2 linked regions of the Styela clava genome follow. The protein of the gene in region 1 interacts with the protein of each later gene in a pairwise test. Links are inferred from orthologs where the notes say so. Each region holds a gene or a part of one and is shown in the gene's direction. Other genes may lie near its edges.

Region 1 (7,292 bases):
CTTTTTTGTTTTTATTGCCTACTTTTTGCTACCGCCCGTGACTCACGTTGGTGTAAATTTGGTCTGCATCTGGACAATGCAGTAAAATACCTAACATTCGGAAATGTTAATATTGCAGCACAGTTGGATGAAGGACGCGCGGTTTCTATTCGTCGGCACAACCAAAACGTCGAGAAAAACCGCCATGTTCTCGGTCGATTGATAGATGTTTTGAAGTTCATTGGTTGTCACGAGCTGTCCCTCCGTGGGCACGATGAACGGGCTGGCTCTTCTAATAGAGGGGTATTTTTGGATATGGTGGAATACACCGCATCCCTAGATACAGTATTGAGAGATCATCTTGATGCCGCAACTGTTTCGAAAGGGACATCTAAGGATATCCAGAATGATTTGCTCGACTCAATGTATAAAATTTATTTACAACATTTGGCTCTGGAAATTGAGAATTGCCAGTTCCTTTCGATTCAGTCTGACGAGACAACTGACATCACGTGCGTTTCCCAACTGGCTGTGATTTTTCGGTTTGTGAAAGATGGTAAACCTACCGAGAGATTTCACAGCTTTGTACCAATCGTTGATCGCACGGCTTGTGGGATATCGGCTGTACTGAAAGGAGTGTTACAGCCTTACAACGCGAAGTCAAAATTGATAGCTCAAACTCATGACGGCGGGGCAGTCATGAGTGGGTCGAAACATGGTGTTCAAGTTTATATAAAAGAAGATTTTCCTCATGCGCATTTTTTACATTGTTATGCACACCAATTTAACCTCGTTATTAAAAATATGTGTCTTGATACCCCTCTCGTCCGTATATTTTTTGCAAATGTTTCGGGGTTTTCTTCATTTTTTTCCGTTTCGCCGAAGCGCTCTGACCTCCTTCGCCAGATATGTAGCCGCCGTCTCCCAGCTTGTGCACCAACACGTTGGAACTTCCAATTACGCGTGGTGCAGGGCGTGTCCGAAATTAGGTCTGAGCTCATTGAGTGTTTCAATGGCATTCAGAGCTCTCCGGTTTGGGACGAACGCTCCGTGAGGGAGGCGGCAGGTCTAAAGCGTCTGCTAGAAGATGGTGAGTTTTCATTTTTTCTCGCTTTTTTCTCAACAATATTCTATCACGTGAATGTATTATACGGCGCATTGTAGTCAAGGCTAATGGATGGAGCGTCTGTGCAGTCGTGTATTTCAGACTTCTGCGATGCTGTATCTCGTATCCGGGAAACAATAAAATACGACGACACATGGAGTGCTTCTTTACGCCGCGGGCAAACAACGCAGCGTTTGATTTTGTCTGCAAAGGAATGCTGTGACATTCTGGTGAATCATATAGGCGATCGTCTGCGCACTGAACACCTTGCCGCGTTCTCTTCGATGAACCCCAAAAATTTTTCAAAATTTACACGTCAATTTCCCATCCATTTGTGGGCTACTGTCTCCAAATTTTACCCCATGATAAACGTGGGTAAATTGGAAAATGAATTGCGATGTATTTACACCAATCAAACTTTTTTGAACATCACATCAACTTGCGCGCTCTATGGGTTCATCATAGATAACACTCTAGTAACTACCTTTGCGGCGTCTGCAAAATTTCTGGACATCATTTTGACGACGCTTATTTCTTCCGCCGACGCAGAGCGAACATTCAGCACGCTGAAGCGTATTAAAACGTATCTCAGAAACACAATGAAGCAAGATAGATTAAATTCCTTGGCTGTTTTATCCATTCACAGACGTTATTTCTGGGATGCATGACTTTAATCAGCGCGTTATTGAGCATTTTGCTTCCAAGAAACCGCGGCGTGTTGCATATATGTTCAAGCAGTAGAAGTCTAGCAGCATATATATCTATGAGTGAGCGAAGCATGTCCTTATCTTTGCATTATCTTTCATTTCTTCATAGTAACGTTTTAAACTTTATTTTAGGTTTTGTCTGCTTTCCCGAAGTTTCTGTTAATATGTCATTGTATTTATCTGGGTAATTATTGCCTTTCCTTTTGAAAGAGGTTTCAAAATAAACTATGTCTTTATTTATTAATCCCTTGACTCGGACCGGTTTTAAAGACACTTTCTTATCGTTAAAAATTGTCGCTTTTGCCGATTGGTTGTTACCGATGGAATGGTTTTTATACTCATAAAATGATGGGAGAACTTACAGCGCTCATCCTGTCCCCGTAGATGGGGGTGACCTGGTCCCGCCGTAGCTTGCCCCGGTTGTCAAAATGACCACGCGCCGCCACTGGAGACAAATAATAATAATAACAACAAGAGAGCTACGCCCAAATATATGGACACGTCTGTTCGCAGTACAGTACGGTGTACCGTACCGTCAGATCACAGTCTACAAATATATTCACACAAAGTGAAGCAGTACAGTAGGACACAAAATGGCGTCCGATGTTCACAGAACGTTTAATGACGTCATAGTAAACAAAAACAAATCTCACAGAGCTAACAGGTATATTTAAAATGAATAAAAGTAATAGCCTTCTGGAGAAAAATTTTATCTTCAACCACTGAAAATTTCAAAGCAATTGGTCCTGTATTCGAAGAGAAAAGCGTTTTTTTAATATTTCCACTAGGTGTATTATTATGTGTCAAATAACAATAAGAACAACATAATATTGAAACGATCGTTATGTCCACTACGTGTCCAATAACAAGAGAGCTATGCTCAAATATATGGACACGTAGCGCCACCCAGTGGGAATAATTTTGATGACGTCATAGCAAAAACACAAAAGTAATAGCCTTCTGAAGAAAAATTTTATCTTCAACCACTGAAAATTTCAAAGCAATTGGTCCAGTATTCGAAATGAAAAGCGATTTCTTCAAAACGTGTCAAAGAACAAGGACACTAAGAACAACAACAACATAATATTGAAACGATCGCTATGTCCACTACGTGTCCAAAAATTAGAAGTATAAATGATAAAATGCCGTGCGTAACCTTACTGTGGCTTTCTGTCGCGAATCTCAACTGGAGTCCTCAACTGGTGACCGTACATTTGAACCCATGTACATTTGAACCCATGTGTATATCCGCGGGTTTAATCTATATGCGGGTGCTAAAACCCATGGGTTAGGTTAGTATGGGTTCAAATATCCGTAAAACACAAAAAATTTCCATAGGTGCAATAGTATGCAGGTGCAATTGTCATGGTTCAAATGTACGTGGGTTCAAATGTAATGGAACCTCCTCAACTCTATGTAACCAATGACATTGTCATTGATGTAACTGATCGCGAGGAGATCGATATAATTTGCGCTACCCCAGTGAGACGCCGTTTCGCGCACTGCAGCTTGTCGCGTTAACTGGATAACGTTACGGATTCCGGGATGCATAAACAAGACATGATCGTCTGGTCTTGTGATATGATGTCACTAATCTTTTTTGTAAAATACGGACCGATCTCGTTAAAGCTATTTTGTTTTTACGCTTCACCTGCAATTTACTGTGAGAACAATATGTACGGCAAACCGAAGTCTGAAAATAGCGTTGTAATAGCTGACTAGGGACAGAAAATGTAACAGAACAACGAATATTAAAACAGGGCCGTACTAAGCTACCTGTACCGGTACCAGTATAGCTCCAGAACTCACTTTGACTATGAAAATTATATCCGAAATTTTTCCGTACCGGTACCGTAACTTAACTGCTTAGACCAGTCAGTAGCACGACGTTACCTTTTTTATAACTTTTTTTAGTTTAATCAAGTTATAGGCCTACATAGCCTTGATTTAGTTAAGCCCTATTACCTGAATTATTTTGTTAGCCTCGAATTTTATTCATATAACTTTACCAGTCGAAATAGCCTATACGGTAACGTATTGGTACGGTATCGGTACCGGTATGTTCTCTGATTTCAATAATGTCCCTAATAGTTAGATATAGCTTATGCTGTGGTGCAGCTTTGCTGATAGTATTTATAACCACATATTTTTTTTTCGGTTTAGTATATATGACATTCGTGGATTGCCTAAGCTTACTGGATTAGTCATTTTAGAACTGTAACAGCCCTGCTAAAATGGCAGCTGAAATTAAAACCAAACCAACTCAGCGGAAACCAAATCTCATCGGTCGAATAGAAGATGAGAACCATGATGTTGTTCCTATGTTGGTTCTTACGCCATCTGAAGACGGAGTCATAACAGTGAGTGAAGATCGTTCTGTACGTATCTGGCTCAAAAGAGAAACGGGACAATACTGGCCAAGTGTTTGCCATTTTTTAACAGCACCATGTTCTTCAATGTGTTTTTCACCTTCAACAAAGCAACTATTTATTGGCTTACAAAGCGGTTCTGTTGAAGAGTATCGTGTTGCTGAAGATTACAATTCAATTTACCATCAAAGAAAATACGATGCTCATCAAAAACAAGTCACAAGTGTGGTTTTCTGCGTTGAAAAAGAAATTCTTGTAACTTGTGCAAAAGATAGATGGCTTACTTGGTACTGGACACAAAATGGTCAAAAAATGGGAGCTCACCAAGTTGCTTCCGTGCCAATTTGCTTACAGTTTGATGTCAGATCTAATTATGTTTTCTGTGGTCTCTCTAATGGGGAAATCCCTATTTTACAAATTGATAAGAATGACTGCAAATCAATAAATTCTCTGAAAGGACATTCTGGTGCTGTAAATACCTTGTTCTGGGACAGTGCTGCACAAATTCTGTATTCTGGAAGTTCAGATAAATCTATAATCATGTGGGATATAGGAAGCAAAAAAGGGACGGCTTTTGAACTCCAGGGTCATGAGTCAAAGGTCATGTCAATTCATTACTCTGCCAGTACACAACAGTTGGTTTCTATGAGTTACGATGGATCTTTGGTTATTTGGAACATGGATATCAAACGACAAGAAACACCAGTATGGGAAGAAAAAGATCAATGTCAAAAGTGCAAAACCCCCTTTTTCTGGAATTTTCGTCAAATGTGGAACGAAAAAACTGTTGGTCTGAGACAACATCATTGCAGAAAATGTGGCACGGCAGTATGTGCAAAATGTAGCACAAAACGCACAACAATTCCTTTTATGGGCTTTGAATTTGAAGTCAGAGTGTGTGATGCATGTTTCGACTCCATTCCTGAATCAGACAAGGCACCAACTGCAACTTTTCATGAGCTGAAGCATAATGTGGTTGCAGCAACTCCGGACTGGAAGAAACTTTGTCTTGCAACAAGCGGTTCAGACCGTGTTGTGAAAATCTGGGACATGAGTCAGGTTATTCATAAGTAAGATTGATTAACAGCATCTCGGTTGAAGAAGTTATTTGAAGATGACTGATTTAGCACTTGCCATTTCTTTGATTATTTAATAATACTTCAGCGGATGGATCAAATATTAATCATGTTATTTTGAGTTTGGCACCAATGCCATATCGTCGACATGCACTTTCAACGGTTGGAATGTTTCAATTCTGTTGGATTCAGATTGTATCTTTATCATAATCAACATTATTTTTCTCTTGGAGCAGCGTTTCTCAAACTGTATGGCACAAAAAATTTCTTTTTCTAAATGCGCCGCGAGCAAAAAAAAAATTGAGAACTGCCTTGGAGCATTACTCTGTATATCATACTTTAAAAGTGAGAATCAAGTGAGTTTATCATCGAGCTAATTGTCCATTTGCATCAAATTGTTCAAAATTATGTGTTTTTCATGTATCTCTCACTATATTTATAATAGTTCTCAATATTTTGAAACAAAGCTGTAGACTTGACGCAGGATGTAGTTGGGCATTGTATTCTTTTGTTGTTTGTTTGGCGCTTCAGAAGTGTTTGTACTAATATGGATGTAACTAATTTTGTTTGCCTACTTTACATCAAGTTGCTTATAAAGTCTGAAACAGTCCTCAACTCATAATAAAACTAAAATAAGGAAAATTGGAATGAAAATTATCACCTAACCTAGTACACACACTACGGCAGTACCGTTTGCGGAATATATCAGGATACGTCACGAAAAATTATTGACAAAACTGAATTATGTGTTATTAACAGTTTTTGAGCAATTAGATAATCCTAATTACTGTCATCTTGTAGTGAAATTTCCCATCTTTGTTTTTGAGTCATACTTGATGCTGAATATGAGTAAAATTTTGCATATATTGTGGTCTTGCTGTGATATCAGATTAGTGTGTTTAAAATGAATTTGCATATTGGAATTCTACAATGCAAAAATATTCTAATATGTATATTGGGCTATCCCAAGTGACACTGCAAGACAATTCCAGAAATTTTGCATGTTGTTAGATGCAATATATTTTTACATTTTCAGCTACATGTTTTGTTTCATTGTCCAATCAGTTGCTTTATTGAATATGAAAAAAATTGCACAAAAGTTACATCCAAGACTTACTTAGTGGATATAAAAAATATAGTAAAATATAGCGTGACACTACAGGACGGCAAATCCACCATGCATTAACAGTACATTGTGTTGTGCTGTAAATTTTTGTGATGGTACAGCAGGAGCCCGTAATATTTTCTGGTGCAGTAGCTGAATGACCCCTCTATGTGCTCAAGTTACTTGATGTAACACTGTAAATCCATGCCAATAATGTGCATATTGTATGTGACACTACAGGACGTGACACTGCATGACATTTTTCCACTTCGGAACAGCGGCCTTATCATCTCTTAAAATTCTGGTAATAAATCGTTAAACGGGTGAAGAAATGTCCTACAGCACTGCAAACATTCAAACTTTATTAACTTAAATTCAGTGCGTCTATTTCATATGAAATAACTGTATCACACAATCAAACACTTTGTGTCACGAATCATCAGAAAATATGTCAATTATACCGAAATTTCTACATTTTAGGCCATTTTTTATATACCATCAAAAACCTGGGTGAAATTTTATCTTTTTGGGTAAAAAGAATGCAGTTTAATAAAATTCCAATGCCTTTTATATAAAAAATACAAAAAATTACTTTCACTGCACATTTAAAAAAATTTATGGAATTCAACTTTTGCTTGGAATGACCCTATTACGAACACCAATCATTAAAGATATATTTACTCAACATCATTGGTTTAAGAATGGAAGCAATTTATATACATTATAGATAAATAAGAGAGGGATATTTACACATTTCTGTATTTTTATAATGTATTATGGTTGTTATATCCAAGAAATATTATTGTATGTATAGTTACATTTAAAATATTTTTGTTAATGATATTATGATAACATATTTGCAAGTAATTTTTTATGTGAAAGAGAGAATTGTATGTACATTGACTAATTGACAGTGAATACTGAATATGTTAAAACAAAACCATAATATGG
Region 2 (8,221 bases), on another chromosome or scaffold:
TTCAATATTCTTTTATATTCTTTTGAGTTCAATATTCTTTATACTTATACTTATTCAATATGCGGCGCCCGAGAGCTGCATGATTGGCCCTTTTTCACGTAAAAACCCTTCCGATTGCCATTTGTTTGTCTTTTGCCATATCGAATTGAAGAGCAAATCCAGGGTCCGTGAATCAGAAGTTTAGGTTGTGCACGTTCAAGAGGTTTTGAGTGAATATTTCCCAGCTTCGGCTATGGTGATTACGGTATCTCTACCCAAATATATATGTTGTGTCTGTTTAGACAAAATCTTAATAGCGCCGTATACCTACCGTACCTACCGTAAGTACCTGTACTACAATATCCGTAACTTACAGGAATAAATTTAAGGTTTATTTCAATCATAATTTTATTAGGTCCAACACCAATATTCTGATATTACTCTCGGACTGTCGTGTTGGTTTATGTCAATATGTCCGCATGTTGTATTCCTAACTTGGAACTTATTGCAGTATTGTGACTGATGTTTGCTCTCTGATTTTGCCTGAACTTGTCTTATAGTATAAGTTAAACTATTACTGTATTAATTAGTTTTAATATTGTTAATCCTCAATGTAAATATCATTCAAGAAATGCTCTATATACAGATGTAGTGTCATCTAGCCTCATGACTGTCGAAATGCTGATTTATTTATTCACTATTTTAAATAAAAGTAACATTCAGGATTCACACAATCACAAATTGCAGAGTTATCCATTTAATACGAAAATAACACGAACACCATAGAAAAACACAAAAGATATTGCGTAGCATTCAAGATGATTCAGTGAAAAATACAATTAAGGTCCCATGAGAGTACGGCGCACTTTTCAGATTGAGAGACATTGTCTTGTTTCATAGAATCCCATTTTGCCGATGAATGAACCCCCCTCCTTTGGGGGATGTCTGGACATTGTTGTCCGTCAATATTGGTAAAAATACAGTAAAATGAAGTTGCGCAAATACTACGCAAAAAAAGAAGCGCAATCTAAAAACGTCATCATTGAATTCCTCAGGAAAAAATAATCGGATTTACAGAGGAAAAAATATACATCTGTGATGTCGATCGTCGAAACGACCGCATTGCCCAAACAATCAGCGATTACGATGAAGTACAACAGAGAAAAAAACACGCTATGTTACAGACTTCTTAACAGACTTAATGTTTCTTATTTATTTACAATAGGAGTATCGACCTTCCATGTCTGCATGTTCCAGACTCCTGTTGTATATTGAAAATATTCTTTACTCGACTATTCAGTATTCGTTAAAAATAAATGGTAACCAGTGAATTTTTAGAGATAATACTTGAATTGGGCTCATATAGGGTGATTCTAATATTAGGAAAAGTTGATTTATCTATTTCCATGTAGACCATGTCTTCTCCCCTGCATTCCCTCCCACATATAGTGTCATAGTTCATCCATCAAGTTATGATTTTGATAATTATAGAATATTCATCTTCTAATTTAAAATTATTGGGATTTTAATACTGATATTTGGACATTTTGCCCATAGTTTCGGGCATCATGTCGGAACCTGAAAAAGGGATAGATGGCCCAGGAGAAAAGGAACAAAAATCACAAATTGAACCGGCAATTCCGCTCGAAGAAAGTCGTGAAGTTCAAGATGTTACACACGATTTAGAAAAACCTTCGCAACAAGATGATGTAGACAAAAATGCAGAAGTAGAAGTTGAGCAGAATAAAACTGATGAAAAGAAATTGGCAGAATCTATGAAACGAAAATTAGAGGATGATAGCAATTCTGGTGATCCAGAAGAGGACGCAAAAAGAATGAAAGTAGAAGAAGTGGATGTGGATAACAATCAGGATCAAACTGTTGATACAGAGGAAGGATTCTTGGATTCTGATATTTCCAAACCGGAACAAAATGATAACGATTCAGAAATAATTGCAAAATCAAATCCAGAAACTGAAAAAGTGCTGGAAACTGAATCTACCGTTGCGAAGGCAAAACCATTACTAGATGAAGTTACAAACTTAGAGAAGAAAGAAAAGGAAGTTGAAGACAATAAGAAGCCAGAAATGACTGATATTGAAATGACTGACAAATCCGTAGAAAGTATTGTTGACTTGAGCAAATCCAAGGAGCCAAATGAAGATAAAGAAAATGTTGTGGTCAAAAAATCTGACGTTGATGGTATCACTGATATTATAATTGCTGATACTGGAGATGCTGATGTAATTGTTGTTAGTGATGATGAACTTGGACTTAGTCCAGGAAAGAATAGCAAAACAGAAACATTGATAAAGCTTGCAAGAATGCATAAAACGCAAGAGAGTCGCATTCGACAACTTCGTGACTCTGTTCGAAGAGAAGAAGCCAAGTTGGTACTACTAAAAAAACTGCGGCAAAGTCAACTTTCAAAATATCAACAGTCGACTACAAATGTCGCAAGCACAAAACCTAGCACAACACCTTCTCAATACAGTTCGTCTAGCAATCAACGTAGCACCAATGTTTCTACAAACTATTCTTCGAAGCAAAAATCTTCGAGCACTATCTCATCGCAGAAATCGCAAGGATATAAAACATCAAGTTCTAGTAGTAGTAGCAGTGGAACTAGCAGTGCTCAATTACAAGCAAATCGCAATGCGCTCGCGGCCATGATGCAAATGCCTCAGCTTATGCAAGCGGGAAATCTGTTGCGTGGCTCACATGGCAATAATCCATTACTTCTTGGACAAGGTGACTTGGCAGCTAATATGCAGCAATTTTTATTACAACAGCAAAAAGCTTTACAGCAGCAGCAAAAACGACCCATTGCTCCTGCAATGTCTTATAAACAACAACAGGCGGCTGCGAAGCTTGCTCTTCGTAAACAGCTTGAAAAAACACTTCTTGAAATTCCTCCGCCTAAACCACCTCCACCTGAAATTACATTCTTACCAAGTGCTGCAAGCAATGAGTTTATATGCTTGATGGGTTTGGAGCAAGTCGTCAATAAGATTCAACATTTGCAAAATAAAAATTTGCGCAAGGAAGAAAAAGAGAGAGAAGAAAACATTCCTGTTCCGCATATTTGCATGCAGTGCAAAAAAGATTTCAGTCCACTTTGGAAAGCAGTAAAAGATAAACCTGATGAGGTTATATGCTTGAGTTGTGTCAATACTAATCAGAAAAAGGCACTCAAGGCTGAACACACCAATCGACTGAAAACTGCTTTCGTCAAAGCTTTGCAGCAAGAACAGGAAATTGAACAGAGGATGCAGGAACAACAAGCGCAGATGCAACAGACTCAAGCCAGTCAATCTGCCCAGGTCACCAATCAAAGCCTGACTGCCGCTGTTGTAGCCGCGGCAACACAACTGCAACAACAGCAAGCACAATTGAAGAAACTTCAAGAAGAACAGTTGCGTCGTCATCAGAAAATACTTCAAAGAGCTCAACAGGAGTACCAACAACAACGCTCTAACACAAGTTCTGGTAGTTCAAGTGGGGGATTTCGTCCTCAAAGTCAATCAAGATCATCAACAACGCTGCCTTTTCCATTTAATACCAGTTCATTGAAGCCAGAAGAACGCCAATTGCTTCTTGATATGATGCCACCACGAGCTCGGGCGGCAAATACTGGAAGTCAAGCCGATAAATGGAAGCAAGGCTGGAAATGGAAATGATATGTGCCCTTGTCCTATTCCATTGTGTGCTACAATTAGATCAAATCATGAGCATGCGAGACACATAGCCTTCAATATAACTGGAAATTCAGATGTATTTCTATTCATTTTTGATCAGAAATCAAGTGCTTTGATGTCATTTAAATGGTGGATTGCTGTTATGCATTACAGATCAATGTTAATTGTAAGGAACTTGTGTATTGTTTTTGATTGTGGTCCTGTTCTTGTGCATTGCATTCCTATTTAGTGAATATGTATCACTTCAATTCAACAAACTGATCTGATACACATTTATTTAATATTTTTATGTGTTATATAACCAAGTTCCCCTGTGGAAATATTAAATTATGTTGGTTTGTGCAACACATTGAATTATGTAGATTTTATTGGGTATATGTACTTATTCTCAAGCGGTGCCAAAATGTGGGTACTTTGTGGGTATGTAATAAACCTATTTTTCACGCCCATGCAAGGTCTGAGTCTTCACTGATATTGCAAACATTACAAGTTATAGGCAAGACTGATTGGCTGAGGCCTATATAGTTGTTGATACATATTGATGATAGTTTGGAATAAATTTACTGTATCAGTTACAGTATTTTTAGTACTAATAAATTAGTGTTTTTCTGGGTGTTGTATATAGTGAGAAACCGATTTATTAATGAGATATTGCGTTAAAAGTCATTTGTTGATGTAAAGATGAACATGGTATCAATAGGTTATTTCTTTCACACTCTCGTATTTTCGATTTCTGTCGGAATGGTTTATGCATAAATTATTAATGCCTTGTGAAGCTTGTTTCAATAACGCTTTGATTATTTTTTGTGGTTTTTCTGTACATAGCTAGGAAATTGTGGTGGAGAATTTTGTGTTAGCATGATATATGCTACTGGCTTGATACTATTATAAGCTAGAATTTTTTTGTAAGAAATTGTATATGTTTTTGCCAGAAACTCGAACATACTCAAACCACCGGTAACCTAATACATTAGGCCCTTTTTTATTACAGCCTGGCAATTATCTGGTAGTAATCTCATTCGATTGCCGGTGGTGATTGCCTGCCTTAGAATCGGAAGTTTAAGCAATGCTCAAAAATGTTATTCAACAGTCATTTTGGAAAGATACAGACAATAAAAATAATTTACTAGTTGCATTATAAGTACATCATGTAAACCAAATCATAATGGCTTTTATCGTGATTTTGGGGTGACAACAAGAATTATGTTGCTCACCTTAAGTTTTCTAGAAAATTTGATTTTCTTTGGGCTAATCTGGTTTGTTCTTTCAGGGATGTTCAACCAAGTGGTACGAAAATTCAAAACATTTGAGCTTATTTTTGAGTGAAAAAACGTTTTTTTTTTAACTTCCTGAGACTCTGAGAGGGCCTTCCTGTTGGCTGTGAACATCCCTAATTTGTGCATGTTTATAAGCATTTCTCTCTAAATGGAATTTGTGAATTGTGTTACAGTTTTTGTCATTTTTCCAGGTTTTTACTTAAATTAAGACAAAAATAAAAACTCAAAATGGCAGGGAATGATGTACAGTTTGCTCCTATTCGTACCTTTCAAGATTATCTTCTTGGGTCTGCAAGGTTTGGGCTTCCCGATTATCAGAATAAAGAAAAATGGAATTACAGAATCGTGAATAATTTATTGTATTATCAAACGAACTACATGATATCTGCACTTGTGATATTTTTGATCGTTGGGTAATAGCAATATTATTGTTTTTTTCTAATATCAATTTTCTATTTTAATCAGTAGGAATAAAAATTTGACTTTGAAATGTGGTGTACATTTAACAACTCGAAATGTTTTGATTTTTTCAGGCTTTCCAACACTTTCATGTAAAATCGTATATATATTTTGATTCTCCCATAACTATCAGTATGAAGTATTAACATGATATTATAGGGCAGGGCTACTCAACTGGCGGACCGCGGTCCGAATCCGGACCTTTCGGGTATTCAATTCGAACCGCGTCTAATTCTTTATTTTGGATCATTAGCCCCACTTTTGAAGTTTCCTTTTATAAAATCACTTATATAGATTTAAATATATATGGGGAGGAACTATAACACCATAATAAACAATCTTGATTAGCTTATAATCATTAGTCGACCGAGAAAGTGCGTGTTTAAAGATGCCGAAATATAATTTCTGGAAAGACCGGACCCAAATATTTTTGAAGTTCTGTATGCGGATCTTCGGTAAAAATAGTTGAGTAGCCCTGTTATAGGGTACTAGGGTATTGCAGATGTTATTGTCATCAACGCTCTGCCCGGCAGTGAGGCACATCGTGCTAGACGTTAAGAATACGCTTGCTACCGCCACTTTGATTACCTTGTGTGAATTCGCAGGTTCGAATTATGTGGGAGAGGATTTCTAGATTCCTATCCACGCAGGGTGAGTTACTGCTTGCTCCACTGTTCAGTTGATGGCTGATGCATCTGAAGACAAACAATAACTGGCTAATTAATCCCATGCCTAACATAGACTGGTCACTGGACGAGAGGTTGTGGTTTTCCGTAATATTAGGCGTTCCTCCTGAAATAAATATGTAAATTTTATCCTAGTATCTTAAATTGTACTCAAATTCTTTCAGTTATGTCAGACCATACGAAATGATACTCGGCGGAATTTTGGTGGGCGGTACATTTGCAGGGACACTGTATGTTGCTTCAAATAGGTAATTTCACTGCATTGCTTTAACAAGTCTTTTTAGTCGATTGTACAAACTTCCCATTTTGGCACATCGTCAATATTATACAAAAAAGTAGGCTAGGCTGACCTGTATCTTGCAATGAGAGTATAATAACAGATGTACAAAGTGTTTGATAACATGCAAAAAATGAAACTAGTAGTATAAAAAATGAATATTTCCTAATGGTTAAATTTACCATTGATTTAGAACTACTGGTTTAAACAATAACCTACAATGTTAAATTGCTCTGTAAATAAAACATTGCTTTTCTGATCATTTTTAGCAGGGCTGAAATTCGAGATTTTAAAAGGAAATATCCTGGCGTTGTCATTGGGATGATTATCACAGTTTCTACTATGCTGATGTATGCGTTGGGATCTGTACTCGTGTTCATATTTGGAATTGCATTACCAATGTTCTGTAAGTTCAAATTTATATTTTTATCCTTTTTATTATTTTTTAGGTGAAATATTCCAGTAGAATATCCGTTTTTTTAGTGATTGATTTCAAAACTTTCATTGGGCTTGCTTCGATCTTTAATTAATCATTTGTATATTTATATATTTTTTTTTTATTAAAAGGTATTCTTCTTCATGCATCATTGCGGATGAGAAATTTAAAAAACAAAGTAAATAATAAAGTGGAATCTGTTGGCCTTAAGACCACTCCCATGGGAATTTTAATGAAAGCCATGGATCAAGAATTCTGAGGATTTCTTTTTACGTATTATTGTTAAGCATGCTTGGTATAATAAATTTGGTTAATGTAGACAATTGCAAGCTATTTCAACAGATTTTTCGCCAGTAAACAATCATTTAGAGATATCAGAAATTTATCATTTTCTGGAAGTCTTCGTTGCCATATTCTTTACTTTATTGTGATCAAAAGCAACCACTCCAAAGGATTTTCTTTGCCCATTTCTCATAAGTACACTTGAGTATAATCATCCTTCTTTAATTAGTTGGGACTTTTCAGAGTATATAAAAGTCGATGGCTTTAGGGTATGGTGGACCACAACCTCTTGTTCGGTGACTAGATAGCGGTATCTGATTTGTAAGGTATGTCAACCATCTGACCTGCTGATCCAGGGATGTCCAAAGCGAATCTAATATTCGATTACATTCAAAATTCATATATATTTAGGAATAATTGACAGTATTTTTATTTCAAAATTAGATATTTTAAGCGGTCAGATAAACTAATGACCTTTATATTTATGTAATTTTCCACAATAAATTAGCCCCAATTTTGAATGTATACCATAGTCGAAGATATTTTCCCAGGATATATTCGAAATAGTGAAATATTCGGTTTTGGTCATCCCAGTGCAGAACCAGTATTTTTTTTAAATTAGATATTTTTCAAAAGCAATTAGCACTTGAGATCATTCACAAACGTGGCGATTAATTTTCTGCCTATAATTCTCTAGACTAGATTATCCTTCATGTAGTCAATCGTTTAGATATATCTTTATTAGTTAAGTAATTTATCAACATTATATTATTCTGGTTCTTTTCTTTATAACCTTACTTAATAGTTGCATAACTCAACGCTTCTTATTTATATATGGTGCTGCAGTATTTTTAGAGGTGTTCACTGCTGATTTTCCAGCGGCAATATAGATGGTTGGTTTTTGTGTTTCTTATGTATTTAATATGCATAATATGGTTGTTTCAGTTGTAATTTGATATATACATATCGTAATAAAGATGGGTTGTATATTTTCTTTCACACTCGGTTATTGAAAGATGATGGTATGTTTTTTAGTTCTTAGGGAATGGAATTTGAAAGCGTCATTCACCACAAGAAGTAGCAACATTATTCAATTGGAAAAATGCATGTCATGAAATTTATCTGCT

Evidence for each region. The genes of interacting proteins can lie anywhere in the genome.
Region 2: the proteins of WD repeat and FYVE domain-containing protein 2-like (region 1) and PRA1 family protein 3-like interact in a two-hybrid assay, tested with the Caenorhabditis elegans proteins (2 studies listed by BioGRID). The link is inferred for Styela clava from reciprocal best matches to the Caenorhabditis elegans genes wdfy-2 and praf-3.

Annotation. Positions count from the first base shown.
Region 1 is NC_135254.1:8,516,728-8,524,019, reverse strand, and holds the start of WD repeat and FYVE domain-containing protein 2-like, read left to right. Parts: upstream 1-3,955; 5' UTR 3,956-4,025; coding exon 4,026-5,234; 3' UTR 5,235-7,292. UniProt on the Caenorhabditis elegans protein: Plays a role in coelomocyte endocytosis.
Region 2 is NC_135255.1:9,619,909-9,628,129, reverse strand, and holds PRA1 family protein 3-like, read left to right. Parts: upstream 1-5,182; coding exon 5,183-5,367; intron 5,368-6,263; coding exon 6,264-6,347; intron 6,348-6,645; coding exon 6,646-6,782; intron 6,783-6,943; coding exon 6,944-7,071; 3' UTR 7,072-8,093; downstream 8,094-8,221. Other genes in the region: uncharacterized protein LOC120330723, read left to right, coding at 1,548-3,659.